Astyanax mexicanus: one gene and its partners. Each later gene encodes a partner of the first gene's protein in a complex. Links are inferred from orthologs where the notes say so. Each region holds a gene or a part of one and is shown in the gene's direction. Other genes may lie near its edges. The genes, in order: cnot6l, cnot10, cnot2 and cnot9.

Region 1 (7,218 bases):
CACATCATCTATTGGAGCCCAGGCTGTCAGTCCGTAGGGCTTGTGTCGACTGGTGTCATCGATCTTCTCCCTCTGCTTCTTCTTTCTCTCCTCCAGCTGCTGCTTCTTCTTCTCCTCCTCTTCCTCCTTCTTTATGTCTTTTTCAAACTTTTTAGGTTTTTTAGCTGCCCTGCAGGATGTACATAAATGTTACACTCATTTAATATTGACAATATTTTATCATGTCTTGATCATTTTCTTATTGTATCGACAATACATCTTTTTATTAGGCATACCAAGGATATAATCAGTCCTCAAAGAACACAGACATAACTGTACATTTCATTACAGGGAGTGTAAAAAATCCTGTTTATTAAATGATGTGCAGCATTTCCTTTAATTTCTCACTGGAGTTCTCCTTTAAAGTTTTGATTTTATACCTGAATTTAATAAATCAATGATTAAGGGTTGTGTCCCAAAACTTTTACCATATAATGTACCGGTATGCCAACATTCTTATCGTCACCAACAATACAAAAAATAAGCTTCTGCACAAGAGTTTTAAATGTTATTGTGTGTTAAAGATCTGTTCCCATCCAAAAAATACAAATAAAATACAAATAGTAATATGAAGCTTACTTGGCTGCTGCGGCATAGTTCCTGACGAGGACGGGATGAGGCCTAGCTGCATTCTGGGAGACATTTGAAGCAGATGAAGCACATGAAGCGCTGGAGAGAAGAAGCTGTCTCTGGCACCCAGCTACTACTGTGGGACAGACCATAAGAAACAACACAGTGATTTATTGTTTTATGTAACCTATTATATGTAATGTCTGTACATATTCCTATACACACCATCCACTTCATTAGAAACACACTGTAGCCAATTTTTGTTCTTAACCCAGGTCAGTTTTACTGGTCAACCTTGCAAATCCAACAACAGTCCTGTAGTCAGAAACTGTCTACTGATGATGTGGTAGGTGATGATTAATACACCATGAACACCAACAATTAAGCTACAATCTTTAGCTGTACAAACCTTTAGCTGGTAAAGAAAACCATAGCTCACATTTGGGATGCTTAGAATTGTATGAAATAGGAAAAGAGAAAAAAAACTGTATGCCATGATGAAAAAAAATAGTTTTTGTTTGTTTTTTGTTACTGTACAACCACAAACAAAAAGCTTTTATTACTACAAGTAACTAAAACTAGAAAAACCTAAAGTTAGCAGAGTGTTAATAACACACTTACATAACTGTAGTAGGGGTGGGTGATATGGCTCTTAAATAATATCTAATATGCGATAACGATATACTTGGCGATATAGGAAAACAGAAAAACAATTGAATAATTTCAGGAATACAGTATAATAGTATAACAGTATAATCATAATAATAATAAAATAATATAGCATAAAATAATATAATGCAGCAAAAAGTATTGCAGAAAAATAAATAGAACATGAACAAACCCCCAGGTGGGTGATGATGAAGAATTGGTGCCAAATTAAAAAGCAGTTACTGCAAATGGAAGTAAAACCACTTTTACATCCCTCTATCCAACTGTTTTTTGAAATTGTATGGTGATAAATAGCAAAATGCTATGATGATTCAATTATACATTTTGATAAACATTTGCACAACCATTTAACATTAAATGTTGAAACAACGTTGTTTCAACATTGAATCAACAACAACAGACATTACTTTAACCATATATCAACCACATTTGGTCAGTTGTATGTGAGCTGGGCAGATCTTTTTAATTTACAAATTGCTTTACAGTGGGAAATATTAATAATTAAATGGATAAATCCACTAAATGCTAATTCTTCTGAAATCCTGAGTTCTAAAAAAAAACAATGAAACCAAAATCAGGTTTTCTAGAAACTTTCTAGAAACCCAATGACGCTTTACAACTTACACATTTTACACACTGTACACACAATCATTCATACTCAGAACTTATCTAACACAACAGTTTCCACACCGACTGGTGCTGACTGATCCGTTCTACTATAACCAGTTTCATAGCCGATTAGTTTTAGATCTGGTTTTCTTCTAGTCTGCTTATTTTACTTCTTTTTCAGCCACAGTGTTTATAAAGCTCTGAAAACTCTCTATACCTCTATTAAATAAAGCAGCTCTGCTAACCTAGGTTAACTAACAGCGCCGTGGCTACTAATGTGATTAAACCGCTAGACAGAAGCTTCTAATAAAACCAGGCTCCTATAACCAGCACAGACTGGCACTGTGTGTTTAAATGTCATTCAAACTCTGTTAGAAACTCTTTAATAATAAATAAATAAATAAAATCCCCAAAACTGACCTCTCAAAATGCTCCTGCAGGACGCTGCCATGTTCACAACCGCACCTCATGTTCCTCCGTGTAGAAACACACACTCCTACAAAGTTCCGCCACCCACTATTTTTAATAAAAAAAATACATAAATTTTTTATTATGAAGACCATATTAAAGCTATACAGAAACACACGCTGAATTATTCTGTACATAAACAAATATTAAACAAAGCAGAATCTGTTAGAATTATACTTTAGATTCTTCCAAATAGCACATTTATCTTTGAGGACAGATCTGCACACTGTTGGTATTTTTTTATCTCAGTGTCTTCATGAGGGAGATTCACCTGGAATAGTTTTCTCAGTGTATTGAAGGAGTTTCTAGAGGTGCTGAACACTAGTTGCTGCTTTTCCTTCACACTGTGAAGCTCCAGCTCATGCCAAATCACCATCTCAGTTCATCAGTTTTAAATCAGGAAAAAACCTTTCTTTAATATCAATCAACGATGTTGAAAATACATTAAATAAAGAAATAAAACAAACATTAAATAAGATCAAATGAGGTCAAACTTTTGAATGGTACTGTATCACCAGATAATTCATTTTAATTGCTGGTGGTTGTATACAAATACAAATGTGAACATATATTGTATATTTATGTATTATCTCTTCATCCTTGGGTTGTTTTAAATAAATGCAACAAATGACATACTAATAAATGTTTGGTTATTTAATTTCCATACACATTAAGCTGTGCCTATTCTTATGTATCTTAGTTTCGCATATATAAAGCAAATCTGCAGATTTTTCTATTATGATTTAAGTGACAGGTGCCTGAATTATACATTTTTTTGATAGCTTTTGTAAAACAATGTGACTTCATGTAGCTTAGTTGCTTTGTAAGTATCCAAATTTCTATTCACTACTATCTTAAAAAAAACAGACCTAAAATGCTGACAATTTAAAATATTTTCCAAAGTTCTTTAGTTTTCTGTTTTTTTTTTGTGATGTAAAATATAGTAACAAAATTTTACACAATTCTTTATAATAACAATTTCTCTGTACACTATATTTTTTCACAAACTTTAAAAATGCATCAGTGAAATTTCTGTTCGTCTTTAAATAAACAGTTTTTCCATGTAAACTATTGTAATTTTACAAAATATATCTTATATTTTTATCTTATATTAAGTCTATGCATTTTTTTTATTAGTTATGTCATTAAAGGCAAATTAATAAAAAAACAATGTTCTTTGTTACAGGAGAAGCCGGTATGGGTAATCCACCTGTTTTTTCCATGGTTTCCATGTTTGCATTATATATTTACAGTATGTCAGTGATATGCCTAATCATGGTCAGTGATAGGAATGGGAGGGGTAAATCTATCTAAAGTTTATCTGTGTTTTTTTTATATATCGTGATATAGTTTATTTTAGTTTTCCTGCTGCTAGGCTTCGCTGATATATTGATACCGTGTTTAATCGCTCCACCCTTATCTTAGCTAGTCTATCTATCTATCTATCTATCTATCTATCTATGTATCTATCTATCTATCTATCTATCTATCTATCTATCTATCTATCTATCTATCTATCTATCTATCTATCTATCTATCAGCAAATGGATAGATGGAAAAAACTATTTAAAACATCTATCGTTGATACAGTTTATTTTAGGTCTGATATTTACTATATTATACTATTTATCGATACAGCGGTGAATCGCTCCACCCTTATTTTAGCATGAGAACTTGAGTGGAAGAGCGGAAGCCATGCCCGCCGTCCTTCCTTCCCCCTGTCGCTCAGATCACCCGGGGACGGAGCGGCACGGACTTTCTGCCCGCATGTCTCCAACAACACCGCCCAGACAACTCCTTTACCCGCTTCCGAATGCAGGTAAACCGGCTGTGGGGGTCTTTAAACACCCGTTCTCCTGTATTCGCTGTGTGTTTTTGTGCTCAGTCACTGTACTGTGCTGTTTTCCCTGTCAGTGAAGGAGAAGCTGCTAGTTAACCGAGCTAAGCTAACGCCAACTGTCTTCTTAATCAGCCGAGGCGGCCCGATCTACAGCTCATACGGATCAGTTACAGTCTGGTGTTCTGTTTTAGCTAAGCTAAGCTAAGCTAGCGGTTTACTCTGATAACGAGTGCAGTTTCTGAGCTGGGCTTGAGTTACATGTTACTGAGATATGCTTTGGTGACAGCTGGACAGACAGTTAGCCACTGTATTTATTTATTTTACCAGAACAAAATAAATAAATTAGACGCTGGATAAACTCAGGTAGCTATTAGCTAACTTTGTAGCTACTTTATAAGTGAACTTTGGATGGATTGTAGATCAGCAGTAATGAAGAGCAGGGCTGTTTGTTTTGGACACGTTTATAAGCTAAACAGCCGCCCAGTTTGTGTATAATACTAGTAGTTGACGCTAGGTTAGCTAGTTAACTAGCTCCTGTCGGTGTGTTTCAGAAGTTTAGCTTTGTCTCTGTAGTGTAGGTTAATGTTGTAAAGTGAGGCTCCGTGTGGTTGACCTGTTGTTGCTCTGGAAGTTCTCAGAAGAGCTTATTATTTTACGTAACGAAGAGTTAGAGAGTTAGCCAGCTAACTTACAGTAGCTAAACGCACACAGACACCCTGATCTGATTAAGTGTAGAAAAAGCCCATATTCCTCCTCTCAGATCAGAGACGGTTGTATTCTTGTAGTGCTTGTATTGTAGGTGGTTGTAGTAAACACTGCTGGTCAAAGTGCGGCTCTGATCCACTCCTCTGGAATTTGGCAGTCTTTTGCTGTTGTTAATGCAACAGCTGCGACCTGACTCCTCTACTGCTGATATATTTATATACAGGGCAACTGAGGTCACTCTGTGTAGCAAGCATGCTCTTAGCTGTTAGTTTATATGAAGTATAGTTAGTGTGTATATATACACTAATGCATCTTAAAAAAATAGAATATCATTGAAAAAGTTACTTTCTTTCAGTAATTCAGTTCAAAATGTGAAACTCATATATTATTATATAGATGTATTACACACAGTGTGATCTATTTTGATAAGCATTTATTTCTTTTGTTGATTATTATGGCTTTCAGCCAATGAAAACCTAAAAGTCAGTGTCTCAGAAAAGTAAAATATTATATTAATATTATCAGACAAATTGGTACTTTTGGCAGTGTGGGCAGTGTGCCAAGTCGTGCTGGAAAAGGAAATCTACATCTCCATAAAAGCTGTCAGCAGAGGGATGCATGAACTGCTGTAAAATTTTCCGGCAAACACTGCAGTGACTTTGCACTTGATATAACACAGTGGACCAACACCAGCAGATTTACCAGACATGGATCTTCGAACCATCACTGACCATCAATACATTTTGCATTTAATTTGAAGATCAAGTGACCAGAGTCTGGAGGAAGAGTCTAAGCTGATCATCTGCTGGTGTTGGGCCACTGTGTTATGTCAAGTCCACAAACTTTTTATGGAGATGCAGATTTCATTTTCCAGCTTAATAGTTTTTCGATTTTAGTTAATCGATTTTTAGTGTCTGGATTTTGCCCACGTCTGATTATTGGCAGGGTTTCCTTAAAATTTATGTTGTCTATTTTATTATTATTCCATGTTGCACCATGGTTCCAGAGGAACGTAATTTCATTACACTGTGAACATGTGCTCAGATGTAATGACAATAAAAGCCACTTGACTTGACTTGACTTCGTCTCTGCATTGAGGAAATCATAGACCCCTATTTAAACCATGCTGTGGGTTATTCTGACTAGACTAGGGGTGGGCGATATGGCTCTAAAATAATATCACGATATTTCAGGGTATTTTTGCGATAACAATATACTTGGTGATATAGGAAAACAGAAAATTAATTAATTAATTTCAGCAATATAGTATAAGAGTATAACAGCATAATCATAATGTGGCTAAATAAGTAATATAGCATAAAATAATATAATGCAGCAAAAAATATTGCAGAATATTCAGTGCATGCATATAAACTGCAAACTCAAACCATTATACAATAAATACACTTAAAGCTTCTCAGTAAATAATAGACTACTTTTAAGACAGAACATCTCTATTATCACAATATAGATTTTTAATATCACGATATTTCTGTGTCACGATATATTGTATATGATATAATATTGCCCACCCCTAGTATAGACAATATTGTCTTTATAGAGACTTTGCGTAACGCAGTAGTAGCCTGCATTTTGCCTGGGCCTTTACAGTATGTCTTTCAATTCCTTACAACTAGCAAAATTAGACTTGCTCCAGTGTAGAACTACAGAAAACTTATATTGTAATTGTATTGAATTTGTATGTCAGAATTAGCTTCTAATTCTTAGCTTTACATCCTGCAGATTAACAGGCATGCCAAAGGAAAAATATGATCCTCCGGATCCGCGCAGACTCTACACCATCATGTCAGCGGAGGAGGCGGCCAATGGGAAGAAGTCACACTGGGCCGAGTTAGAGATAACTGGTAAGTGTCTTCATTTACGATTCTTAATACTGAACGGATGTTGTGTGTCTTCGTTATCAAGAATCCAACATTCTCTGATTAGGCACTCTTTTTTTAAGTAAAAAAAAGTGTTAAGACTAAACTAATAGGCCTTGTTTCCACTGCTGGGCTAAAATGCTTTCCAAGGCCACACCGTTCCATGCTCTGCCAGTACAGACCTGTTAGGTGGGTTATGGTTTCATAACCCATGGTTTCCATTTGCTGTGTTTCATGCTTTCATGTCCTAATTTTAGAGTTAGCACTAAAAAATAAGCTTGTATAGTTTATCTTAATATTTGTTTTAATTTGACCATTTAAATCTATATTACTAAGGCCAGTAAACATGGATTTGTTTTTTGCACAAACATTGCATCAAAATCTGGTAAATGTTTCTCTCTGTGACCAGTAGGAGCTGTGTTTTAATTTGACCATTTA
Region 2 (8,092 bases), on another chromosome or scaffold:
CCGGGACTTTACCATGGAGAAGTTAAAATAATGTGATAAGCAGAAAAAGTCCTGATGTAGTCTAGTGTGTTTTACTACATAATGAAACTTCTAAAATATGATTTATTATTTATATACTGCATTTGCTGTTATATACTGCACGCTAGACTTAAATACAATTATTTGTGTTTGAGCAAGGTTTGATACTCGATCCACAGTGTCATCCACAGCCATTACCACCCAAGGTGGACAGCACAGTTGATGGTAATGCTCATTATGGGCGGTCTCTAGCTAGAAATGTCCATGTAAACAGACAGACTACTCTGGCAGAAATCACATCCATATTTAATGCAAAGTCCATACAAAAGTCATGGAACACAATACTAGTTAAATTTCCAATGTGGCATGGGACATGTGACAAATGATTTGGGAAAGGATATACAGCTCTAGGCTACAAATGGAAATGCACTACCTAAATGCATTTAACTGTAGGCTGTAATGCATGATTTCATGACATTTCCCACCACGCAGCAGCAGTTCCACAAGAAATGGACTTTAGACTGGAGGATGAACAATATACTTTTACACATAAAGTATTTAGATATAACATCAAGCTTTACGAAAATTCACTTATTAAAACTGCCTCAACTATTTTATTAGATCAGGTTGCTCTTACTGATTATGTCTAATGAAAAGACACAAATCTATGAGATGCAGATTCCGCACATCTTAAATGCCACAATTCTTATTGTCTAACCAGAGTATAACGAAGATAAAGGAGCCTGTATCACCAAATTACTCTGTAACGCTGATCCACATTCTCCTCCTCCTGGTTTATCAAATCACTCAACTGCTCCTACACTTTAGGCAATCAGTGATTTACACAGACAGAAGCTGTGGCAGTTGAGTGATGGTGTTCGTCTCCAAGCAGCTGTGTATTTAACAGAACACTCTCTGCTAAAGGCCAGGGATCAGCTCTATAACTTAATTTGTTTCTGCTCTTTCTCAGTGCCCTCTGAGCCCAATAAAAGCCTTTCAATGACTCCATAACGACTTCCTCGTCTACACAAGTAACAAAGCCTAATTGTCTTGATTGTATATTACAAACAGTAAAGACACAGCCCCCCACCACAACCCTCATGCCTACATTTAAACAGTTAAGAGCTAGTCTGGCATTACACAACACAGTGCTATTGAATTTATATGTGTTTAGATCAAACATAAAACTTAAAATGTCAGGTCTATTAAAATGTAATCTTCCTTGGCCTAAAAGGTATATAAGGATCATTGAGGACAAGAACAGCGCACTGTTCCAACATATGCAAGTGTTTAAACATAAATTAATTGACACTAGCTGAACTTTTCAGGTGTGAGCCACGTTCAACTTGAGCAGCCTTGTGACTCCATGAAAGAGGAAATCAGAAAAAACACTGGACTTAAGAATACAAAAAAAATAATAATAATAAATAAAAACTTAAATCATAAGACCAAAACAGTGTTAGAAAATAAGAACATTACAAATGATGTTTATTCTCTATTATATCACCCTTGTAGCATGGAACAGGTACTGTCTGAGAATGTATTGGCATTGTATTAATTCTAATGTGTATCATGTTAACAATTCATGCTTCCTAAGTATGGACACTGAGTAAAAGAAATAATGTAGTAAGCCCTATTTTTTCACTACAGAGACAATCATTAAAACATGTAGTTTAAATATTTTAATGATTGACCTGAATATTCAGGTTATTTGTACTATAGAATTCAAACAGATTGCATAAATGGACTTGCCATGTCTGAGGAGGATATAGAACTACTTTTTAAATGTATAATAAAGAACCATCTTCAAAAGGTTTTATTAGTGTTTATTAGTGTTCTGCTTAAATCCCCACCTCACATGTTGCTACCTTATAAAATCCTGAAAGAAATAAATGTGCTTGCTGCTCTTAATCACACTGGAAATGTTTATTGCACCAGCAGAGGCCTTTCATGCATCATATTATCAAAGCGAATAAACAAGCCAAGTAATCATCTGTTTGGTCTTTTGGTAGTTTAGAACCTTTTGGTCTGTCTGAATTCTGCCACGGCCAGGCTAACTTTTCTAAAAATGACGGAGGATAATGAGTCATATTGTCGGAATGCTCCAATTTTCTGCAGGCCTGGAGAGATGGATCTGTCATAGTTACGAAGCCTCAGAATAACCAGACACGCTCCCAGGCAATCAATCATCCCTCTTCCTCTCAAACTTCTCTCTCTCTTTTTCGCTCCCTCCTGGTGTCAATTAGTGAGACATTTTCAAGCTCTCTAGGTACTAGGCTCAATTAGACTAATTGAAGTCAAAGAGGAAAATAAACACTGCGGTAGAGAGTGTCTCTCGCAGGAGGACGTGGCAGCAGTGTTTTTTTACACTGAGAGACACACACTTTTCTTTTAACACAGGGCTCCTGTGGAGTGACACATACCTGATGCTTGTAGATGGCTGCCCTTTGTGCCATCAGTACCTGTGTTAAAGGTGGTGTTCATTGTATTTTATGTTTACATACTTACTGGCTGATTTGTAGGCACCTAAACTTTACATTACTATCAATTAATATCCATTGCTGTTAAAACTTTACAATGGTTTAAATTATTAAATATTACTAAATCTAAATTCATTCATTGGAAAATATATATTATTCAGACTGTATAGACATGTCTTCAATTACACTGACAAAATTATCCTTGTAATGCTTTTGTAGAGTAACCTATGTTGTTCTATGTTTGTGACAGAAATATGAAACTTGAAATAGTATCCTGACATAGTACTTGACCTAATTTTGACATAGTATCCTAAATCAAATTTGTTTTATCCCTGTTTTGATATATACGAGCATAAATCCAGATTTAACAAAATACGACCGCCAGCTAATTAAGAAGTATGAAACACAAAAACAACATTGTTTTTTTCCCCTTTAGATGGTCTAAACATGCTGCACACAAACTCTCTAAACTCTTCTCAGTACAGCGCTGGCATCTGGCCAGAGTGGGTATTAAACTCCCAAATCTAAAGGTGGGCATTATTTTACGAAGATATGTGGTCTTGCCAGAGGTGGAAAAAGTACTGAAAAATTGTAATTAAGTAAAAGTACTGTTACTTTGCTAAAATTCTACTCAAGTAAAAGTAAAAGTACCCATCTAAAAATCTACTTGAGTAAAAGTAAACAGTACTCAATTTAAAATGTACTTTGAGTAAAAGTTACATAGTTACCTATTTTAAAAACTACTTTAAAATTACAAACAGCTCAGGGCTTGAATTAAACCACTCTGTTGGGTCATCTGCCTATCTTGGTGGAGACAGAACCAAGATATGAGCCAGATGTTAAAAAAATCCAGAGTTTAACCTAAATGTATAGGACCATGCTCGCCTCAATAGATGTATTTTCCTATATACAGGATATGAACTATTTCTTAAGCCATTTGAGAAAACAGAATGCCTACACAAATCAGTACACTTATGCTTGGTTTATGTAATATTTTTGTATCTAACTGTTCTTCACCTGTCTAGAAACAGGTTTACTACAGTCTGTAATTATAGAATTATATAAATGCTCCTATTTGATAAGAATAGCTGACAAAATGGAAAATAAGGTGTATTTAAAGTTTTCTTTAAAAAAAACTGCCTAATGGTTAACTAAGTACATTTATTGCAGGCTCCACATCTCTTCTTTAAATTACATAACTATATAATAAAATATTCACATTCAGACAAAAACTATAAGCTAGTTAGCTAGTTATATCCAGTGTACTAGGTTAGCATTGTTTTGCAGAGTGACAGTGCTAGACTTGTTAGCTATAATGTTTATTAGGGTTTATGAATGTATAAATTGAATTATGATTTACATTTAGGGTAAAATTGTGGCCATTTAAGTTAAATGTTCTAGCTAAGGCTCTGACTTGCTAGCTTAACAGGTAACATTTAACCTAAGGTTAGCTAACTACTATCTACCAATCGTGGAACTTAGTTTAGTGAATGAAAGCTATTACAGTTACGTTTTATTTTGACTTGGGTATAATAAATTAGCTTAGCTTAAAAGTCACACTCTTGATATAGGCCATTATCCTAAAGTCGTAAAGTCAAATGATTTGAACAAATGAGCGTGCAGGCAATTTTTAAAACAGGTGGTCAAAGAGCATCATGAGGAGATGATGTAGGCAAAAAAATCAAGTTTGCCAAAAATAGAGAATTAAGTCTGGGCAGAGATAGTGAGGAAACATTTACAAAGCATATTTTTCTACATTTTGTATTCTATTAAAAAATATCAAGAACTATCAGTGTGGTAGAAAAATAAACTGTTGATGGGGACAAAAGTTGTGAGTCTGATAAATCACAGTAATGATATACACATTATTTTTAATGTAATATGTAATATGTATTGTATGTAAATTCCACTAGAAGTATGATAGGAAATAAACTTAAAGATAATCTAGATGCAGTCTTGCAAATAATGATATCCAGTCTTTGCAAAATCTTATCCTGTGACTAAAAGGTCTGACTAGTCTTTAGATGTGAGAGGGTGTCAGAATTTAGTCTGTTAAAAGTCTTTTGACTAACTACTTGACTAACTACTTCTAACCTCATTTCCTTCTTCTCCTCCTCTACTCCTATATCCCATTATTTCCCTTTAATCTCCTTTAGGCCCTGTCTAAAGTTGTTTTTACCTTTAACTTCTATTACTTTTGTACTTCACTATTGTCTGCCAAATGTAATGTAATGCTTTGAGAGTCTTTTCAAAGTCGTGTAGTGTATGGACAGCAAAACTCCTACCAGGAAGAGAAGGACCGTCAGGCTGTTTGTGTTTGGGGGTAAACTCGGATCTGTCGACATCTAGAGTTCACTCTTAGAGTCTTCTTCCATCCTATCATTCTCTCCAAATGATCACTCAGTGTTTCTCCTCCTCCACACCGGCGGATGGCGGACTGCAGCAGCTTGTGCTCTAATTCTCATTACAAAAATCCTGGATGAAGCGAAAGCAGAGCAGTAGCAGCGGCTACGCACTGATGAACCCTGTGCTGGATCTATATATAAGTTAGATAAACGGAGAGGATCTGTGTGTGAGAGTCTGATCACTGGAATTAACACGCGTTAATTCATACCAGAGAATCACTGGCAGGACATGGCTGAGAGCGGCTCAGGTAAGCTGGGTTTATTTATCAGCACCCAGGGAAAGGGTAACTTATCTGTCTACCGCAGTTAGCTAACTTAGCTAGACTGCTCGCTGAATATTTACCTGTCCCTGTCAGACTAGTAGATCAGCGCTGTTGTGAAATTTAACCACCAGTTTCTCTTCTGTATTCAGTTAAAGTCAGCAGCAGCACAATCAGCTGTGAACAGTATAAACACTGCAGCACACAGAGAGGGCAGCTAGCAAGGCTAGGCTAAGCTAAGCCAACATGCTAACTAGCTAGCTAACCTAAATAGCTAGGTACCATAGCAACCTTGCACAGTAGCTAAATTAACAGTTTCAGTCCTTTAGCAGTGGACGAGAAGTAGAATGTAAAGTTTCATATGTTTATTCCGCTATAATATAACGATTTGTGACCGAACTAGTTAGCTTAGCTAAGTATTTGAGAGTATCGTCAGTATCGCTAGTTAGCTAACCCCCTAACCTGACTCTCACTCATTTTGCCCTTCACAAAATCGTTAAAAGCGCTTTATTTTAAGTATCTGCATTAAAATGAACTAAATTATTAAATCATTTACTTGTGAAATGAATATAAGCTAAATATGTAAATGTGTAGAGATTTAATCGAATTTAATCGAGGCTAAGTCTTGCATTCCTATGCGGGTTTTCCCGTCCACCTTAAATTCTCCTGCAGAGCAGAGGTTTCGCCTGTAGGTGGCGCTGATTTCACCATTAATTAAAGTGAAATCAGTCTAAAACTGATTTATTAATTTATTAAAAAATATATTATTATCGTTTTAATCAGCTATCTAAATACTAAATATGTAGTATTATATGAACATATAATTTTTGTTTTACACTTTTTAGTCTTAGTTTAGGTTATTACGGTTTTGCAAAATGTATAATCACATAAGAAAAAAAAAAGATAAAAAAGAAAGAAAAATAGAATAAACACAAGTCCTGCATTTAAAGAAATCACATATAGACTGAAAAGGTATAGGTTGAAGCTTTAGCTTAATTTGCCTACCCTATTTAATTAACAAATACACATATTTTTTTACAGTGTAGAGACCACGCTTTACACCACTGACAAACATTTATTTCATAAAATCTTCTTTTTTTTTATATCTGTCCTTCAATTCAATTCAGTTCAATTTTATTTATATAGCGCTTTTTACAACAAAGGTTGTCACAAAGCCGCTTTACAGGAAAAACAGGTCCACGCCTCTTATGAGCAGCACCACAGAGATGCCAATTTTATGGTGACACAGTGGCAAGGAAAAACTCCTGTCCTTGCTCTCCATCCTTTAAACATAAGTATTCCACCAAGTTCAAACTTTTTATAGATATAATGGTCAGTTTTTAAGGTACAGAAATTGTGCAAAATGTTAGTGCTGTATGTCTGAGCAATAAGCAAATGATTTATAATTTATTAAAATAATATTTTTGTATTTAAATAATACTTTGGGTAAGGTGATGAAGCTACTACTACAACTACTTCTAGTGCTACTACTGCTAATAATAACATTATTATTAGTATTAGTGGTGGTACTTGTCTTGAGATACTGCATACAAGGTATATGGTATTTTCTCTATGCAGCAGTAAATCTTAAATTTAAACATGTATTGATGTATCAAAAAGCCTATGGTGAACTCGACAGTGCAGAGCTAGAAGCAGCAAACGACACAACAAACCTGTACAAGGAGAACATGTTTAATCATTAGCTCTTAAGCATTTAGAGGTTTTAGTTCTGCTGTGTCTGTTTAAGTCAAACATTCCAATTAACTGCTTTTAAATTTTATTCTTTTTCAAGACCAAGTTGGTGACATGAAACATGACAACGCTTCTTCCCCTGGAATTTCAGACCAAGAGAAGGAGATGGCCACGAATGCTTTTGAAGCATTTACGGTATTGAACTTTTACATTTATATTTAACACTCATTCCTGCTTAAAAATACAGCTCAAAAACACCTGGTAATCCAGAAAAAAACATACTGCATGCCACTTAAGAGCTAGTAAACAAGCTAGCCTACCAGCATAGGATATGCTGTTTTTTTTTTCTTTCTTTCCCCTCAGCTGGTCTTGAGGTGGATTTTTATGTTTGATATTTTTAGCAGGGATTCCTTACATATGTTGTGAAGTATTACCTGTACTTTGTTCATTACTCTTTACTGTATTGCTCTTGTCCCCTTAGGCCGGCAACTACGATGATTCCTTAAAACAACTCGAAAGTCTTCAGGAACTGAACAAGGAGGACTATAAGATAGCCCTGAACAAAGCTGTTGCTGAGTTCTACAAAAGTGGGCAAGCAACCACTGGCACGTTGAAGCAGACGTTAATGACAATAAAAAATCAGGTGAGGAAATACTTTTACATTTTCAATTAAAAATGTTCAAAAACAGGGCCTTGTTTTTCTTAAGCCTGTTTTCTGATGGTTTTCTATCTTTTTATTTGTAGGTTCATACTGCGGTGGAAGACATTGATGGTTTAGATGATGTAGAAAACAGCATCCTCTACTACAATCAAGCCATCATTCACTACCACATGCGGCAGTACTCTGAAGCCATATCTATTGGGGAAAAGCTCTACCAGTTCCTGGAACCGTTTGGTATGTTTCTGAATTTTGATTTAATTTCTCAAACAAAAAACTAACATTATTTGTTCTAGGAAACTTTGTTCCTGTTTGTGTGTATTAGTGTCCAGTAATTCATATTAAGAGTATAAGAATACAGTTGAAAAAGAAAGAAGTCAAAAGAAAACTAAGTATACAGAATAAAACACTTGTACATTCCTGATAGCAATGTTTCACAGTCACTGTATTCTTAAAAACATGCAGATTTGAGTTTCCCTTGCTAAAAGTGTTGAATCTTCCGCTCTGCTACCTCCTGGAGTAGTGCGGTAAAGTGGCATGGCTTGATGACTTTCTCTGTCCTAGAAGAGAAGTTTGCTC
Region 3 (8,159 bases), on another chromosome or scaffold:
AAAAACAGCATTGAATTCTCTGGGCTTGGAGGCATCTATGGACAATCACACAGTGAAAACATGTATTGTCATCAGATTAATCAGTATTTCAGATCTTGGTTTGGAAGAAATGAATGGGGATGTTTGAAAGAAATTAATGGCATGTGCTAAAGGTATTTCCAGTCAGTTATTTTTAAAGCCCAAAAGCCAGGGTCTGTCATGGCGTGGGGTTATGTCAATACACTTTTAGATGATGGCAGCATTAATACAGAAAGGTACACTGAGATCTTATACTGAGATAATGTACTTGCTTTCAAGATGCCAACATCCATTCATTTTTCAAAAAGACAATGCAAAACCACATGCTGCACACATTATGAAGGCATGGCTGTGCCTGCAGTCCTGGTCTGTCTTCAATAGGGAATTTGGAGATTAAAAATGTGCCAATTTCAACTTCATACTGTTGCACAGCCATACTGTTGCACAGCCGATGGATTGGCAAGCGTGAGAAATACCATGTATACATGGATGGATTGGCAAGCGTGAGAAATACCATGTATACATGGTATTTCTCACGCTTGCCAATCCATCGGCTGTATATTATAATGTACTCTCGTTGAGCCAATCAGAATATAGATCGCTCTGTTGTTACACTCTAAAAAACAGATGTACGATATGAGTACTTTTTTGTACTCAAAGGTACATTCTTTATAATTGTACCCTCAATGGTACAATATTGGTCTTTACAGGGTCAGATTGGTTCCCTTTGAAGTACAAAGTCTTTCCTAACAGCAATAAGGACAGATTTGTACCATTTAACCAGCCAAATGGTACATTCTGTATTCTTTATCACTGTACTAATAAACAATATATATTTTAATTGCACATTTTTCATGTGAAAGCCAGACAATTTTGGATCATCAAGTTTTTGACACATATTCAGTTGATGATAACGTTTATAATCTGTATTATCTTTACTGGCACAAAAATATGGGGTACAAAAAAGGACTTTCACTGAAAAGTACTTTTTTGTACCTCAATATAAGGTACAGCCCCAGCGACAAGCTTTGTACTCTTTTAGGTACAAATCTGTACTTACTTTTCTTAGTGTGTAGGCAGACCTAGTCAAAGAGGGTGGAGTTTCTGCCAGAGTGTCAGGCGCGAAGAACTGTCCGATTCGAAAGTTCTGAAACACACGTCGGTGACAACTGAAGGAGAACGGCGGCAGATATCCATCCAGATATTGCTAATAAACTCAGTAGGCCAAAAAGAACATGAGAAAAAGCAGATTTTAAATAATAATTTCAGTTGTTCGAGACAAAAAGGTCACTATTACTCTTCTACAATAATACAGCCATGTTGAAGTACTTTGAGTACATGCATGTATTTCCTGTCACAGCAATATGGTTTAAATCAAGACTTTAACTAGGCCACTATTGCAGGATTTTCTGGTAGACTAACAGAATTGTTTTGTTCTGTTAATTATGGCAATTCACCAAGGATACAGATCAAACTACCACCCCAATGTTTTGCATAATTAGAGATACAGTTCCTTATATGCTCTTGGTGATCTTGTGTGTGTTCAGCCACTTTTGAGATGATTCACAACTGTTTTTCAAGTTTTCTTAGTAAAACCTTTTCGAACAATATAATAATAATAAAAAAACTTCCAGTATTTCTGTTGATCCCTGTATCATGTGTTGTTTGTTGAGACATTTTATCTCCATATACGTAATTCAAATTACTGTGATTTATATTTATTACTGTAAATTATGTTTAAATTCAACAGAGGTGGCTTAAATGCATGAATTGTCTGATTGATTAACCTGTAAACATTTTTAGCTGTTCCCATTTAAAAATATTTTATGCCTTAGTCTTAAATTGAATTTAGTTTAAAGTTTCCAATAATTAAGCATGCATAACACGCAAAACAAAACAAGGAATCAGGAAATACCCTTTCCTGGCTCTGTAATAGTAGACTTGTATTGTCAGTGGATTAGACACACATGTAGGAACTAGGCAGAATTTAAACATGTCAGTGTTTACTTAAGATTATCACATAAAATTGAAAATGAAAATGAAAGTCTTGAGTGTGTGAACCCACACATCATTGCAGCAGAAGAGGCACAAAACATACAGTGATATGCATTAATGTACTCACTGTCATACATACAAATATTACACACTGCACTATTAACAGTCGAAACTGTAATACATTGTACATACAGCCTATTCAGTGAAATTAAAACCCTGAGTATATAGTATACTATAGACAATACAGAGATGGTCTGATGTCACCTGCAGTAAAACCAGAGATGTCACTCTACTGAAAGAAAGACATCAGTATTCAACTTGCTGTCATCACTCTGTAGCTGCCAGCCAGTTGGGCGTCTGTGTGGTTATTTGGCAGAGCGGAGAGCTTCTGTCAAGAGCTTATGATGTTGATGCTCTGCCAGCAGAATTGTACAATGAAGAAAGTGTGTACTAGTCTTTACACCATTGTTGTTGATAAATGGCTATGACTGAGTTCATATTTACAGAACTTACATAATGGAAACCTGAATTAAAAAAGTCTAGAGTTTGGAGAAGAAAAAAAAAAAACTCATACATTATCGATGAAAGTCAACTGCCAAATTCTACCATTATCAATGTCACATAATAAATGTTAATATAAATATTGAAATAAATATAATAAACTTTTTTTCCACATACAGTGACGTCTATATTGTTTGGGACATATTTTTGGGATTATAAAATCAAATGTATGGACTATCATTAAGAAGAAACAGTGCACTGCTCAGTTTTTATTCTTAAAGGGACTAGTAGGCCAAGGAAGAACTCCACTGATAAAATCTTTACTAATCTTCAGAAAAATCTTTAATTGTCTATCTGACAGGTCAAAAACAACCTTGAGGAGTTGGTTGTGTATTTGTCAGATACTATTTGTAGAAGGTTTCATGAACAAAATTACAAAGGTGGCCAATTTAAAGTTTGCAAAACCACTGTCTTAGAGACTTAACAGAGAAGATTCTCCGCATAAGTTATAGTCTGTAATATAAGTATAAGCATAAGTATAATAGTCTGTGAATTACAGACTACAGATAGTGATTGCATGCAGTGGATATAAAACATTATACTTAAAATGACTGTATCATACTTGTTATGGCTATGCGCCAAACATGATATGGTTATCTTAAATGATGGTGACTGTGTAAATGTATGCAAATACCCTTAAGCTGAAGTGTGGTATGACTACTATAATCACTTATGGTCGGTTTGATGTGATATTTATATTAAATTGGAGCAGAGGGCATGCTTATGCATATTTGATCACAGATGTTGCATCTGGGCCTGTAGATTCTGCCCACTCATCCACTGATGAAGTAAGTGCAAGAAACACATAATTGTTGAAAATCTGTTGATCAAACAGGCCAAGTGTTGCAACTGGCGAAGACATTTCTGGGAAAAACTTGCTGTGTGTGAGTGAGCATTGTCTTACTACTAGGTGTGACTGACTGTCACAGTTATACCCTCTTGTGGCAAGACTAACACTGAGTTCCATTTACCCGGGATATTCGGCTATTGTGAACGTTGGATTCTAAACTCAAGGTTGGCGAGGCTCCCCCAACTTTTTTGAGTAGGAAATCTGACCTGTAGGAGCGTTCAAGTTAAGATTTCCGGAAACTAGGAAAACTAGGAAATTCCAGCTTCCCAGTTCTAGGCATAAACATGATTTACAAATCTGTCTGAGACATAATTAAATGCCAAGTTTTCCAGCAATCCAGGGTGTTCATTTTTGTCAATCAGTTTACATACATAACATTTAAGGCACATGTACAGATGAATCTTAAAAAGGTTTTATTTGTTCAGTAAATACACATATAAATACACATATAAATATATAAATATAAATATATATAAATATAATATACAAATATAAATAAACATAAATAAATACATAAATAACATAACATAATTACATAACATAACATAATATCATAAATGTGCTTATTAAACATTTCTTTTGTTTTTTTGCACTTTCTTAAAAATGACAAGATATGGCTTCTATTTACTTTATTTCCTTCAAAAGGACAAATGATTTGTTACTATTTTATTTGTAAAAGGTACAAATAAACATAAATAACTCTTCTTTTATAACTTCTATTTATGTTTAATTGTACCTTTTACAAGCAAACTCTTATCGCAGAGATAAATGGCCTAAAAGCTATAACAAGTTTACATACATTTACATATAATTGTCTTTGGCTACTTTCATTTAATTTTTATTAAATAAGTATGGACAAAAATAAATAAAACATAAATACAATATATATCTATGTGTAAAATGATTTAAAACAAAGAAACAACATGAACAGGCCTCAGCTAAAAATAATTTAGTTAGAGGAACTAATACTGAAAATGTTATATAGTAACAACTGTAACTTATGTTTTGTTAGTTTAGGCCACTATGTCCAATATTCTTGCTATGAAAGACTAGTATAAATCAGTCAAACAGGGTATCTTGTGGGGGGAATACTGATGCTGGCCCAGGAAGTCAGGTTAACTAGAGATATGGAATAGCTCATTTAGTGCATTATAACGTTTATACAGAAGCTAAAATGTGAACAGTAATGTCGTGATTATAATTACTGAAGAACCTGAATATAGTAAAATAAGTGATAATTTAAGGCCCATAATAATAATAATAATAATAATAATATTAATGTAAAGCAGTGAGGGCTGCTGTAGAGGCCAGAGCAGGGTCAGGGGGTAAAGGCTGTTCACCCAGGATTCTCGGCTGCAGGATACACAGCCATCTTGGGTCTACGAGGAGAGGGGAAATTAATGCGGTTAGTGGATTTCTTCATTTATTAACAAAAAACACCACTCCGCGCGGCCCGCCTCGAACACAACACGAAAACAGAGCTGTAGCGTCGGAGGGTTTTCAACCTCGCATGTAGGTTGAGCTCGAACTCGCGGAGAGATGGCTTTACACGGACTCGTACGTCTCTGTGTTTTTGTCCGAGCTAGCTGCGTTAGCACCAGCCTGATACCTGAAGCTAAAGGGCTTAGATAGAGATGCGGGTTGGAGCGGAGCAGGAGGCGCAGTGGCCTAGCTAAACTACACCGCCTCCACCGAACACAGCCGGATAGACTTTGTTAAGCTAGCTCTAGCTTTATCTGTAGCTGTGTTACGAGCTAAAGGCTAGTGCTCCATCCGGTAAATAATTAAAAGAAACTGTTGTGCCGCGACTTGAAACGCGATCCACGGTCTAATCTGGAGTCTGGTTTAGCCTGCTGTGTTGTGGACGAAGCCGTGTTTTGTCAGTATCGTCAGCCGCTGTTCAGATGTTTTTTTTTTATTATGTAGACTGAGCAACTTTAGCTCGGTAGCTAACTAGCTTAGCTATCTACCTGCTGTTGGATTTGTAAGCTAGCTAGGTTTAGCTAGTTAGCTAACTAGCTAATAAGCTATCGGGTTGGTTGAATCCATAACCATCAATAGCTCCCAATGTAATTCTCTGACGCTAGTTAGCTTGTTCGTAACGCTATTTTAACCAACTAGGCAGGTTAGCTAGTTAGCTAACTAGCTAGCTTAAGAAGCTATCGTGTTGGTTGGATTCATATCCATCAATAGCTTCCCATTTAATTTTCTGACGTTAGTTAGCTAAGCCAACTAAGCTAACGAGCAGTCTGTTCATACCGCTATTTTAACTAGCAAGGTTAGCTAACCCTATATAACTAACGTTAATTCGTTAGCCCGGCTAGATAACTAACTTAGCTAGCGTTATTTAAGAATCCGGAGTAAAATATTGTGGATTTGTTTTTTGTTTTTTAACAAACTAATGTAGTTAGCTAATTCATTTTTGCAAACTTGAAAGCAATATCTAACGATACAACACCGTAAAAGAAAAAAATACGAGCTTCTGTCTGTACCGAAAGAGTTTGCCCAGCTAGTTAGCGTTAGCTAGCTTAGCTGGCTAACACGATTATAAGCCGTAGTCCAGAGTTAGATGTGTTCTGGATGTATACTGGGTAGCTTAGCTAGCGGTTAGCTCGTTACTGTGTTTAAAGCAGCAGGTCTCTGTGCTTTTAGCTTGATCCTTTTTAGGTTATATCGTTAACACGCGGATCGTCTAGCTAGTTAACCACTTTATAATGTATCACACACGTTTGCAGCTTAATATTAGCTAGCTATACATAAGTTATCTGTCAGTGCCAAACTGTCAAGGTAGCTATTAACAAGAGTAGCAAGTGTTAATGTAAACAATGGAAGTGATGAGCAGTGTAATTATTCTCATTGCTTTTGACTTTGTTTATTCTTTAGTGCCTGTTCGCTCTGAAGCTTGTTTTGTGTGATTTATTTGGACCTTTTTACTTTTTTCTTGTGTGGTCACATGGAACTCATGCGCTCAGATCTCTTTCACAACAGCCATAATAATCTTAACACTGGCAGAAAAGCTCTGAATGCTTTTATTGACAATATTGTGTAGCTTTGGGGCCTGTTTTACTGATCTGAGTTAAACTTGGTCCTGAGCAGGAAGTATTAAGAAGCTCTGGGTTTCACAGAGCTTTACAAGTTTACTCCCAGACTAATCTTTAAACAAAAAAAATATATTTTTGTTTAAAGATCCTGTATTTTTTTAAATAACTGAGTTAAATCATAAAATACATCTTATGTTAGTATGAGTTTTACAACTTAGTCCAGTAAAGGTTTAGTAAATGTAAAAAGCAAGTTTCTTGTTTTCTACTTAAAGTGGTCTCTAGAACATCTCTGATCAAATCCAGTTATTCTGGCTTTCCTTTTAACCTTCTAAAACTATTGTTTTTTCTCAGGTGACGAACGGAATGTTCAGTGCTACAAGAAAGAAGTTTGAGGGGGTCGAAAGCGACTACCCAGATGAGAGCATGTACTATGGTCAGCCTTCGATGTTTCCTCATCGAACAGAGAAAGATGTAAGAGCAAAAGTTACATGCCTTCAGTTGACAAGTTACAAAAAAAAATACAATTTGTGCAGCACAAATGTAGGAAAATGAAAGAGTTTGTAAATCTTGCAGATGCTGGCATCTCCCTCACCATCGTCGTCAGGTCAATTGTCGCAGCTTGGTGCAAGTTTGTATGGTCCACAAAGTGAGTACATTTCTCTAAATTTGCTTGTATTGTGTTGCAGTTTTTAAGACCACTCATTAAATATAAAAATGTTTTATATATGATTTTTCTGGTGTGATTCTTGTAGGTGCACTAGGCTTCTCAATAAGGGGCATGAACAACAACAACCCTCAGTTAAACCGGAGTTTAACACAAGGTACTCAGTTACCGAGCCATAACACCCCAACAACGGGCGTCCCAACGATGTCCCTCCATACCCCACCTTCGCCGAACAGGTAGGCCTATGACTTTGCCTGCTTTCAAAGTTTTATCCAACGTTTCCTGTTATGTTTCTTGTTTGTTCTCTGTGAACAGTGTGGGGATGCCCCATATACCTGATTTACATTCTCTTTTGATTTGCAGGGGAATTCTTCCCATGAATACCAGGAACATTATGAATCACTCGCAGGTGGGTCAGGGCATGAGCATGAGTGGCAGGACCAACAGTATGGGCAGTTCGGGCCTTGGCAGCCCCAACCGCAGCTCTCCCAGCATCATCTGCATGCCAAAGCAGCAACCAGCACGACAGCAACCTTTCACCATCAACAGGTACAATGTCTGTTCCTAACGGCATAACTCAAAGTCCAGGCTGGCATGTATTGGCACCTATGATAACTTAATGCATTTATTAAGGAGGCTGTTAATGATTTAAGTATTGCTGTGTATTAAAAAAAACTTGACACACTCAGTGAGCATATGTGCCTGGACCAGTGGGCTGCCATTCCTGTGGCAACTGGAGAGCAGTGAGGACTAAGGGCCTTTCTCAAAGGCCCAACAGTGTTAGCTTGCTGAAACCACAACCTTGTTATCGTTAGCTCTCTAACTGCTAAGCCACCACAACCTAAGTAGCCACAGTAGTGTGTGGTGGTGGTGGCTGTGGCCGTGGCCAACGGTATAAATGGGATCAAGCATGGAAACAGTACGTGTTCAAGTATTGCACTTCGCTGTGGTATCTGAGAGACAATTCGAATAACATTTTATAATGAGTTGAGTGTGCAGGAAAAAATACATGATTTATTTCCACACACAG
Region 4 (8,361 bases), on another chromosome or scaffold:
GAGAATTGATTTGGAACCCCTGACTGTACCTGATCTTTGCCTCTGCCCTGCTCTCGAACATCCAGAGCGATTCTGTGTGCTTGTTCTTTGGTGCTCAGCAGGTTCACGTTGTATGCAATGAGGAACTTCCGGGCGCCAGTCACTGTGGCGCCCCATGATGGGACAAAGGTGGCAGGACCATAGTCTGGAACCCACTCACTCTTCTTTAACTGTAATGGAGAGATCCAAGAGAGTTTTTATTCACGGGCCACTTTATTAGAAACAAAATCTGCACCAAAGGTACATTGTTTGTTACATTGTTTGTAGATTATCGTCAGTTTATAAATAAGGGTTAATCTACAGTTACAGTAGATATAGAAATAAAGAGCATACGCATTTGTGCCTGTACTGCTGCATGATATGCGTAAAATGGAATTTGATTCCGGCACTAAAACATTTTCTTTTTTTGTTGTTGAATGCATGATCATAGCCTGCGTCTACTTCCTGGTAATTTATTCAGAAGTCAGTACCATTTAGAAAAGTGCTTTCACACTGCAAACAAACCAAATCATGGTTCAGTTGATCTGGACTGACACCACCTCTTTTGGTCAGACCAAAATTTGGTTCTTTGATCCTGTCTGCGGTTCACGGCAGCTCCAATTTTGGTTTAGACCAAACCGGAAACTCTATTATTCATAGATTGGTTTCTGAGGTGAGATACAGTCTGTAACTGTACAATAGGGTGTTTCTAATAAAGTGACCAGAGTCTGACCTTTTCTGATAAAGCCTCATACTCTCCAGCTCGTACAGATGGCAGAGACCTTCTACTTTCAGTCCTCGCAGCTTCTCCATAGAGGTACACTAAAAATGAGACAGAGAGAGCATAAATTTGTTACATGTTGTCAAAAACTTTTGACAAAAACTAACATGTGCTCCTGAAACCCACTTAAAAAATTGGTGGTAACCCAACACCTAAACAACCCTTTTTCCAACCATACTTTATTCTTTAAAATTAAACCCACTGTGTTTTAACACTGTATGTACAGCTCTGGAAAAACATAACACCGCTTAAAAATGATGAGTTTCTTTGATTTTACCAAATTAAAAACCTCTGGAATATAATCAAGAGGAAGATGGATGATCACAAGCCATCAAACCAAACTGAACTGCTTGAATTTTTGCACCAGGAGTGGCATAAAGTTATCCAAAAGCAGTGTGAAACACTGGTGGAGGAGAACATGCCAAGATGCATGAAAACTGTGATTAAAAACCAGGGTTATTCCAGCAAATATTGATTTCTGAACTCTTGTTTATTGCATTATTTGAGGTCTGAAAGCTCTGCATCTTTTTTATTATTTCAGCTATTTGTAATTTTCTGCATTTTCTTGTTCAAGGTTTATAGAATAAAACAAATGTTAATTTTACTCAAATATTTACCTATAAATAGCAAAATTAGATAAACTGATTCATGAAATGAAGTGGTCTTTTTTACAGAGCTGTATATAAATGAGCTTTCGTCTGATTGGTTCTGTATTTTGTTCTTGATTTAAAAAGCAGTGCTAGATTAAAATCTTAAACGTTTCAAAATAAATGGGAGGGTGTGGACTGCTCTATCAAATGTTCCGATTTTTGAGACATCAGAAAATAAATGAGTTAAAAAAAATAAATACTGTTTTGATAAGGTCCCTTTAAAAGGTTTATCTCACCTGGCACATGAAGCAAGTCCCCCAGCCTCCGGCCAAACTCATTAGCACACTCCACACACTCCTCCATGCTGGCGTTCTGTACCGGGATAAAAGGACACACGTCCATGGCCCCTGTCCGAGGATGCTCACCTGCACATTCAAACATGGACAGATTTCTAAAAGGTTACATATCATAACAGACATGATTCATTTTTACACAATATGTTTTTTATCTCACTTTAACCCTTGCCATTGCACAGGCTTACTTGTTTTATTATTGTTATAATAACTCCATATCTTAATGAAGATCAAATGTTCAGATTATTAAATGTTTTTAAAGACATAGGTTTTATTGGGTGTCCCAATTTGGCTCTGCTCTGATTGGTTACTATGCACTGCATTGTGCCTTGTTTTGAAACCACTCCAAAAGGGCCAAAGCTCACTTAAAATAAAAAATTTGATGCATTTAATCACAGAATGGTTTTTATTTTGCCTCAGTCTATTTTGAATTAGCTTTGGTCATAAGATGGCAGCAGTACTGGCATTCATTGCATGATACAGCTTTAACATGCATTTTTAGACTGTCTGCCTTGTCCCTTGGGTACAGGGATTTATCCAAATACTCTGAAACTTTTGGTTATATTTTGATATTATGGTGAAGATGATCTGATATCTGTCCATCTTTACTTAACCAAAAGAGACTATATAAAATGCCTTTTTTATACCCAGCCCTGTAAGTTACAGTAGTTGCAAATTGCTCCTAATGCAGATGTTTTTTATTAGTACCATTAGCACCACTTTCTGCTTTTTGATGTGCTGCCCAAACTTTTTTGAGATGTGTTTCTGAAATCAAACTCTAAATGAGTTCATGTATTTCATTAAATCGTAAGTGTCATACTTTCAGTGTCTTAAAATGTGTTCTGTGTTCTATTGTGAATAAAATATGGTTAAAATAGATTTGAAAATAATTACATTCTGTTTTTATTTACAATTGTTTTTATATTTTACACAATGTCCCAGCTTTAGTGAAAGCACTATTATTTGCATGGTGATTTCTAATAAAGATGTGAGTGTTAACTGTACCTGTGTGTTTGCTCATGTCAATGATGGTGAAGGCGGTTCGAGCAGCGTTCAGGGCTCCCTCCACCACAGCCTGTGGGGGGCCCACGAATGTGTAGACCGTCCTGTTGGTGGACGAGCCGGGGTCCACGTCCAGCAGACTGCAGCCCTCAGTGGCCGAGATGGCATCAGCTATGGCATTGATTACCTGGTAAAGAGAATTAATAAAGTTAGTATGGGTTCTCCTGGTCTGTGACAGTCAATAATGGTCAGAATCTGCTTTTACCTCCTTATTTCGTCCCTCTGAGAAGTTCGGCACACACTCGATTAGCTTAGCCATGGCTGTGAGAGGTAAGACACACAGACTGAAGCGGCTCCACCACTGGGTCCTCGACGGATCTATAGAGAGTTAAGTTAGTGCTCCTCTAGAATGATTAACCCGCCCCACTGGGCCTTATCTGGGTCAGCAGCCAATGATTGGCCTGTCACTTCAGATAACACACAAGTCTGTCATATTCACTCAGTCACAGACATTCACTATATTGCCAAAAGTATTCGCCATCCTAATCCAAATCATTAATCTCAGGTCAAGCCTTGCATCACCAAAACTCAATTGCCACCATAAAATAAACACCAACATTGGGCTTTCACATATTGGCCTCTTTATTAAAAACATCCTCCTTCTGTTTCATTTTACTAATAATACGCTTTCAGAATCTATTTCTTAGCTATCTTTGCCTCATTGTATTTTCCAGTAAATTGTCTCCTATGACCTTTCAGCACTTAGCATTAGCTAGCCTTGTAGCTTATGTGCAAAATGTAAAAAAATTCTAATTTTAGACACCAAACATGTCTTGTCTGCTTGGCTACAATGGGGTAAACAATGTTACATGCCAGTTGTACACATGAACCACTCACTGTGTACAAAACTGTTAACGGACCTTCTGGACCTACTGGTCAAACACATCAAGAGATGAAGCCAAGTTTAATATTTGGCCCAAGAGTTTCATAACATCCCAAAAGCAAACAGAAGGTGGCTAGGTTGCAGTAAATAATTGATTCATCAGAGAACCAAAACCTGGTAGGGGGTGTAGCAAACAGAAAACAGCTACAAAACATCTGATCAAATGGGTCCATTTTTGGATACATGTCTGATTAAGGCAATAATATTGAAAATGAAAGCTAGCATCTCCATACCAATTTCATCAACAATGCACTTGTAATATTATAGTAATAATAGATGGTCAGATATCAAAAGTCTACATTTTCCTAGTTTTTCACAGATTGGTGAACCGCTGTCTATCTTTACTTCTTTTACTGCCTATCTAAAATTCACTTTTTATACCCAGCTCTGTGAGTTAGTTGCAAATTGCTCCTATTTTAGCTGTTTTTATTAGTACCTCTAACTTTTTCTGGCTTTTGATGCCCTGTCCCAACTTTTTGAAGTTTCTTTGCTGCCATCACACACTAAATAAGTTAGTATTTTTCTTGAAATGGTAAATTGTCTTACTTTCAACATCTGAAATGTGTGCTTTGTTTTACTGTGAATTAAATGTGGTTCTGTTAGATTTGCACATTTTTTGCATTCTGTATTTTTTACACAACGTTGTGTAATATTCAAACTTAGACCATCCGATACCAGCTACCAGCAAAAGCTGGTGTCGAGCTGGTATTTTAAAGGAGAACTCTGATGTGAAATGGGGTGTTGGGGTGTTGTGAAACATTGTTTGTGAGTACAAAACTTTGGTCAAATAGTCCACGTCCGAAATGCAGCAACAGGCGTACGATGGAAGCAATAGCAGTATTCATGCAAATAAATCTCTATTTTTACACCATTAACAAGCTCAAAGCAGATTGGTAGAATTCTATGAGCCCTGACAGTGTTAAAATTGAGATTTCTTTACACGGACAACTCTATGCCCCTATCACTAGCATTGTAAGCCTGTTGACATAATTTGTACTTATCATGTTTCACTTGGGTTACAACCCAAGTCCATTCTCCACAGGATTACACAGGATTCTCCTTTAAGCAGAAAAAAAATAAGAGGAAAATTATGAGGAAAAATGATTATCCAAAAGCAGTGTGTAAGACTGGTGGAGGAGAACATGCTAAGATGCATGAAAACTGTAATTAAAAACCAGGGTTATTCCACCAAATATTGATTTCTGAACTCGTAAAACTTTATGAATATAAACTTGTTTTCTTTGCATTATTTGTGGTCTGAAAATTTTGCAACATTTTTGTTATTTTATCCGTTTCTCATTTTCTGCATCTAAATGACAAAATTTTTATTTGGAATTTTGGAGAAATATTGTCCGTAGTTTATAGAATAAAACAACAATGTTAATTTTACTGAAACATATTCCTATAAATAGCAAATATACAATCTAGAATATGAATTGGTTTCCACTCATCATAAATCATCATACATTAATCTCAGTTTGCCTTTACATATCAGTAGAAATGTAAGTATCCACTGATATCCTATAGTATCTGGATCGGTATCTCGGTATCTCCACAGGGCTCCCTCTGCTGGATCTGGAGCTTCCTCAGACTGGATGTCTGAGTCTGCAGGCGTGAGTGTGGACGGTGGAGCAGACTGTGAATGTCTGATGTGAATTCTGAGGGATTTCTGTGTATTTTGGGCTGAAGAAGGATCTCCACGGCTGCCGAAAGACTGAACACAGCCCTTCCGAATATGCTGGCCACAGGAGCGGTAAGTTAAATGCGCGGTTCTGCTCTGATTTTAACTTTAATATTAACCTCCATTCATCAGCTAACCTAAAACTCACTGCGCGGCCTGCTAGCCGGAGCGGCTAATTGCGCTAAAGAGCTTCACAACTTCACTCTTATGTAGCTATATATTACAGAGATTCAGCCCCGTATCTAATTTATCTGCAGCCTTGAGCCTTTGTGAGATTTAAATTAATTAATTGAAATAATAAAAACTGGACGCCTTTTAAATTGGTCATTACGGTCGAATGCTAATGCTAACGAAGTAGCGTTGCCTGTTAGCCTGAGCTAGCTCGCTAGCTAGAACGGGTGTTGGACGTATTAACACTAGTTAGCTAAGCTATGCTAGCTATCTAGTTAGATGCAAATTATAGCGAATATTAGCTAATGTTTTTATTACAGATATTCACAAATCTCCGATGTTTATATCGTAATATTTCGTCCTGTAGCTGGCATTAGCTTCCTTAAAGTTTGAATGGCACGGTTGCTATCTAATGTTAGCTTAGCTATCTTAGCTAGTACGCTGGTTAAGTTAGCTGCTAACGCTAACTAGAAAGTTGTTTAGCTAGCAAATTTACAGTTCTTAGTTTAGCTAATAAACTCAAATTGAGTAAAACTGGTAAAGTAAAAAAAGTTAAAATGAAGAAGTAAGTTAAACTCAACTGGAATTAAGCTACGAAATAAGTGCTTATATAACAGTTAGCTATCTAAAATAATCCTTGGTTGATAGCAGTAGCTGAAGTTTGGCTAACGGTCGTGTCTGTGAGTTTGGGAAGAGTTGAGGCTGACAGTTTAAAGTTATTAATTATTAGTCTTATGATTTATAATTCGGTATATAAGCAGTAAATAGATCTGATAAAGTAGTCTTATTAAAACATTAGCAATAGCTTACACAAAGAAGTACAACTGAGTACTAATGTATTACTCCATTACAGTAAACATGCTAAAGGGTTTTACTTGTTCAATTGTGCCAGTTACCTGCGTAAGTAGAGCTGGGAGGTTAAGTAAATTAATTTGATTAAACTAAATACTGTTTTAATGCAATTTTTAAATGGGGTAATTGAGACTGTAAATTTAAATGTAACTGTTTACATGTAGGAGGTGCCAGAGGATATCTCAGTAGAACGATATTTGCTTCTTTTAGAAACTAGGGTTACTGTAAAACAGTGTCTCTCAAACTGTATTACGGCCATCCTAAGGTTGTAAAGCACTACAATCTATGAAGTTTCCAATATAGTTTTCCTAACATTACATTAGTTAGTTTTGATTGCTTTCCCAGTTAGAACCTGTGTGTGAGCTACATCTCAGTCATACACTCTCAGAGCAACAGTTTTAATAATAATATCACTTTCATTAGCCCTAGAGTACAACCCTGAGGAACACCACAAGATATGCTCTATCAAATATTCCGTCTGAGATGTTTCTGTAGGGTTACTGTAGTAACCAGAACCAATTATCTTAACAACTTACATATAAAGTCACACTCTTGACATATGTCATTATCCCTAAGGGGTAGAATCAAATGAGTTGATCAACTGAGGGTGTAGGTGATTTTACTACAGGTGGTCAGGCAGCATTGAGGTGATCATTTAAGCAATGGAAGGTGATTATATGCAATTCCAAATTGTTAGTCTAGCGAATAATTGCTGTTATTATTATTATTCTAATTATTACCATTAACCATGGTAATTATTAATTAATTTATTCTCATCATTCTTACCACTGATGATTATATCAGTACACCTGAGCACAACAACAGGCAGATGTGATGGTACAGTGACTTTATATGTGTAATTTTATAATTGGTAAATTTTGCCTTCTGCTTCCCCTGTGGAGGTTTTATATTTGTGTTTGATATTTTGTCCTGCTGCTGATGTGTGTAAAGCTGCTTTGTTGCAACATTAGTTGTAAACAGTGCTGTTTCAGTTTCACTTGCTACCTGGATATTATGAGATATTGTGAGGGATTTCTACTCACTGTATAAAATTGTATGGGATTTTTGTCTACTAGGTTTGGGTAATACTATTATGATGATGCTAAATAATGGAGCAATTCCAGTACTAATAATTTAAAAAAATCTTAAGAATTGATGGTCATAAGGAAACGCCTGATTAACATTTGTGCGTTTTTTATCCAAGGCTGTAAGCACGGCGCTGGCGCAGGTGGACCGTGAGAAGATCTATCAGTGGATCAATGAGCTCTCGAGCCCTGAGACGCGGGAGAATGCACTTCTTGAGCTCAGCAAGAAACGGGAATCGGTGACTGATCTGGCTCCAATGCTCTGGCACTCCTGTGGGACCATTGCTGCACTCCTTCAGGTAAAAACTAGAAACTTCATAAGTACAGCATAACCAAAAATTACACATTCCTACTATTATCTTTTTGATAACATAATATAAAGCAGTATTGTAACAGAGTCTCCCAACACAGTGTCTGATGAATGTTTTTTCATGTGTTTTTATTTTAACAGGAGATAGTGAACATCTACCCCTCCATTAACCCTCCCACGCTTACAGCCCATCAGTCCAACAGAGTGTGCAATGCCTTAGCACTTCTGCAATGTGTGGCCTCGCATGTGGAGACACGGTAAATGCTGCAAACCCACTCTGATTTACAATTAATACAGTTTGGAGACTAAATTGTCTGCATGTTCCTTAATTTAAACTTTTCTTTTATCCCTCCAGCTCTGCGTTCCTGGCAGCGCACATCCCTCTGTTTCTGTACCCTTTCCTACACACCGTTAGTAAAACGAGACCCTTTGAATACCTTCGCCTCACCAGCCTTGGAGTCATTGGTAGGTTAATTTTGCTTTACAACTGAGAACATCCACAGATACTGGGGTTGTGATTTAAGCAGAATCTTATAGTAGAGATGGCAGGATCAAAAAGGTGGATTTGTGTGTAT

The links.
Region 2: cnot6l (region 1) and cnot10 share a complex: the UniProt entries of both Homo sapiens proteins name them as parts of the CCR4-NOT complex. The link is inferred for Astyanax mexicanus from reciprocal best matches to the Homo sapiens genes CNOT6L and CNOT10.
Region 3: cnot6l (region 1) and cnot2 share a complex: the UniProt entries of both Homo sapiens proteins name them as parts of the CCR4-NOT complex. The link is inferred for Astyanax mexicanus from reciprocal best matches to the Homo sapiens genes CNOT6L and CNOT2.
Region 4: cnot6l (region 1) and cnot9 share a complex: the UniProt entries of both Homo sapiens proteins name them as parts of the CCR4-NOT complex. The link is inferred for Astyanax mexicanus from reciprocal best matches to the Homo sapiens genes CNOT6L and CNOT9.

What each region holds. Positions count from the first base shown.
Region 1 is NC_064429.1:17,420,070-17,427,287, forward strand, and holds the start of cnot6l (CCR4-NOT transcription complex subunit 6-like), read left to right. Parts: upstream 1-4,059; 5' UTR 4,060-4,174; intron 4,175-6,628; exon of another isoform or gene 6,629-6,643; 5' UTR 6,644-6,653; coding exon 6,654-6,765; intron 6,766-7,218. Other genes in the region: mrpl1 (39S ribosomal protein L1, mitochondrial), read right to left, coding at 1-169, 619-745, 2,308-2,338. UniProt on the Homo sapiens protein: Has 3'-5' poly(A) exoribonuclease activity for synthetic poly(A) RNA substrate.
Region 2 is NC_064413.1:37,975,191-37,983,282, reverse strand, and holds the start of cnot10 (CCR4-NOT transcription complex subunit 10), read left to right. Parts: upstream 1-4,941; 5' UTR 4,942-5,132; coding exon 5,133-5,151; intron 5,152-6,955; coding exon 6,956-7,050; intron 7,051-7,336; coding exon 7,337-7,498; intron 7,499-7,599; coding exon 7,600-7,750; intron 7,751-8,077; coding exon 8,078-8,092. UniProt on the Homo sapiens protein: Component of the CCR4-NOT complex which is one of the major cellular mRNA deadenylases and is linked to various cellular processes including bulk mRNA degradation, miRNA-mediated repression, translational repression during translational initiation and general transcription regulation.
Region 3 is NC_064409.1:54,388,444-54,396,602, reverse strand, and holds the start of cnot2 (CCR4-NOT transcription complex subunit 2), read left to right. Parts: upstream 1-4,948; 5' UTR 4,949-4,963; coding exon 4,964-4,981; intron 4,982-6,816; coding exon 6,817-6,936; intron 6,937-7,038; coding exon 7,039-7,111; intron 7,112-7,217; coding exon 7,218-7,365; intron 7,366-7,492; coding exon 7,493-7,678; intron 7,679-8,159. UniProt on the Homo sapiens protein: Component of the CCR4-NOT complex which is one of the major cellular mRNA deadenylases and is linked to various cellular processes including bulk mRNA degradation, miRNA-mediated repression, translational repression during translational initiation and general transcription regulation.
Region 4 is NC_064430.1:21,132,248-21,140,608, forward strand, and holds the start of cnot9 (CCR4-NOT transcription complex subunit 9), read left to right. Parts: upstream 1-5,256; 5' UTR 5,257-5,422; coding exon 5,423-5,440; intron 5,441-7,595; coding exon 7,596-7,775; intron 7,776-7,927; coding exon 7,928-8,043; intron 8,044-8,141; coding exon 8,142-8,251; intron 8,252-8,361. Other genes in the region: ftcd (formimidoyltransferase-cyclodeaminase), read right to left, coding at 30-209, 752-840, 1,686-1,814, 2,748-2,931, 3,010-3,063. UniProt on the Homo sapiens protein: Component of the CCR4-NOT complex which is one of the major cellular mRNA deadenylases and is linked to various cellular processes including bulk mRNA degradation, miRNA-mediated repression, translational repression during translational initiation and general transcription regulation.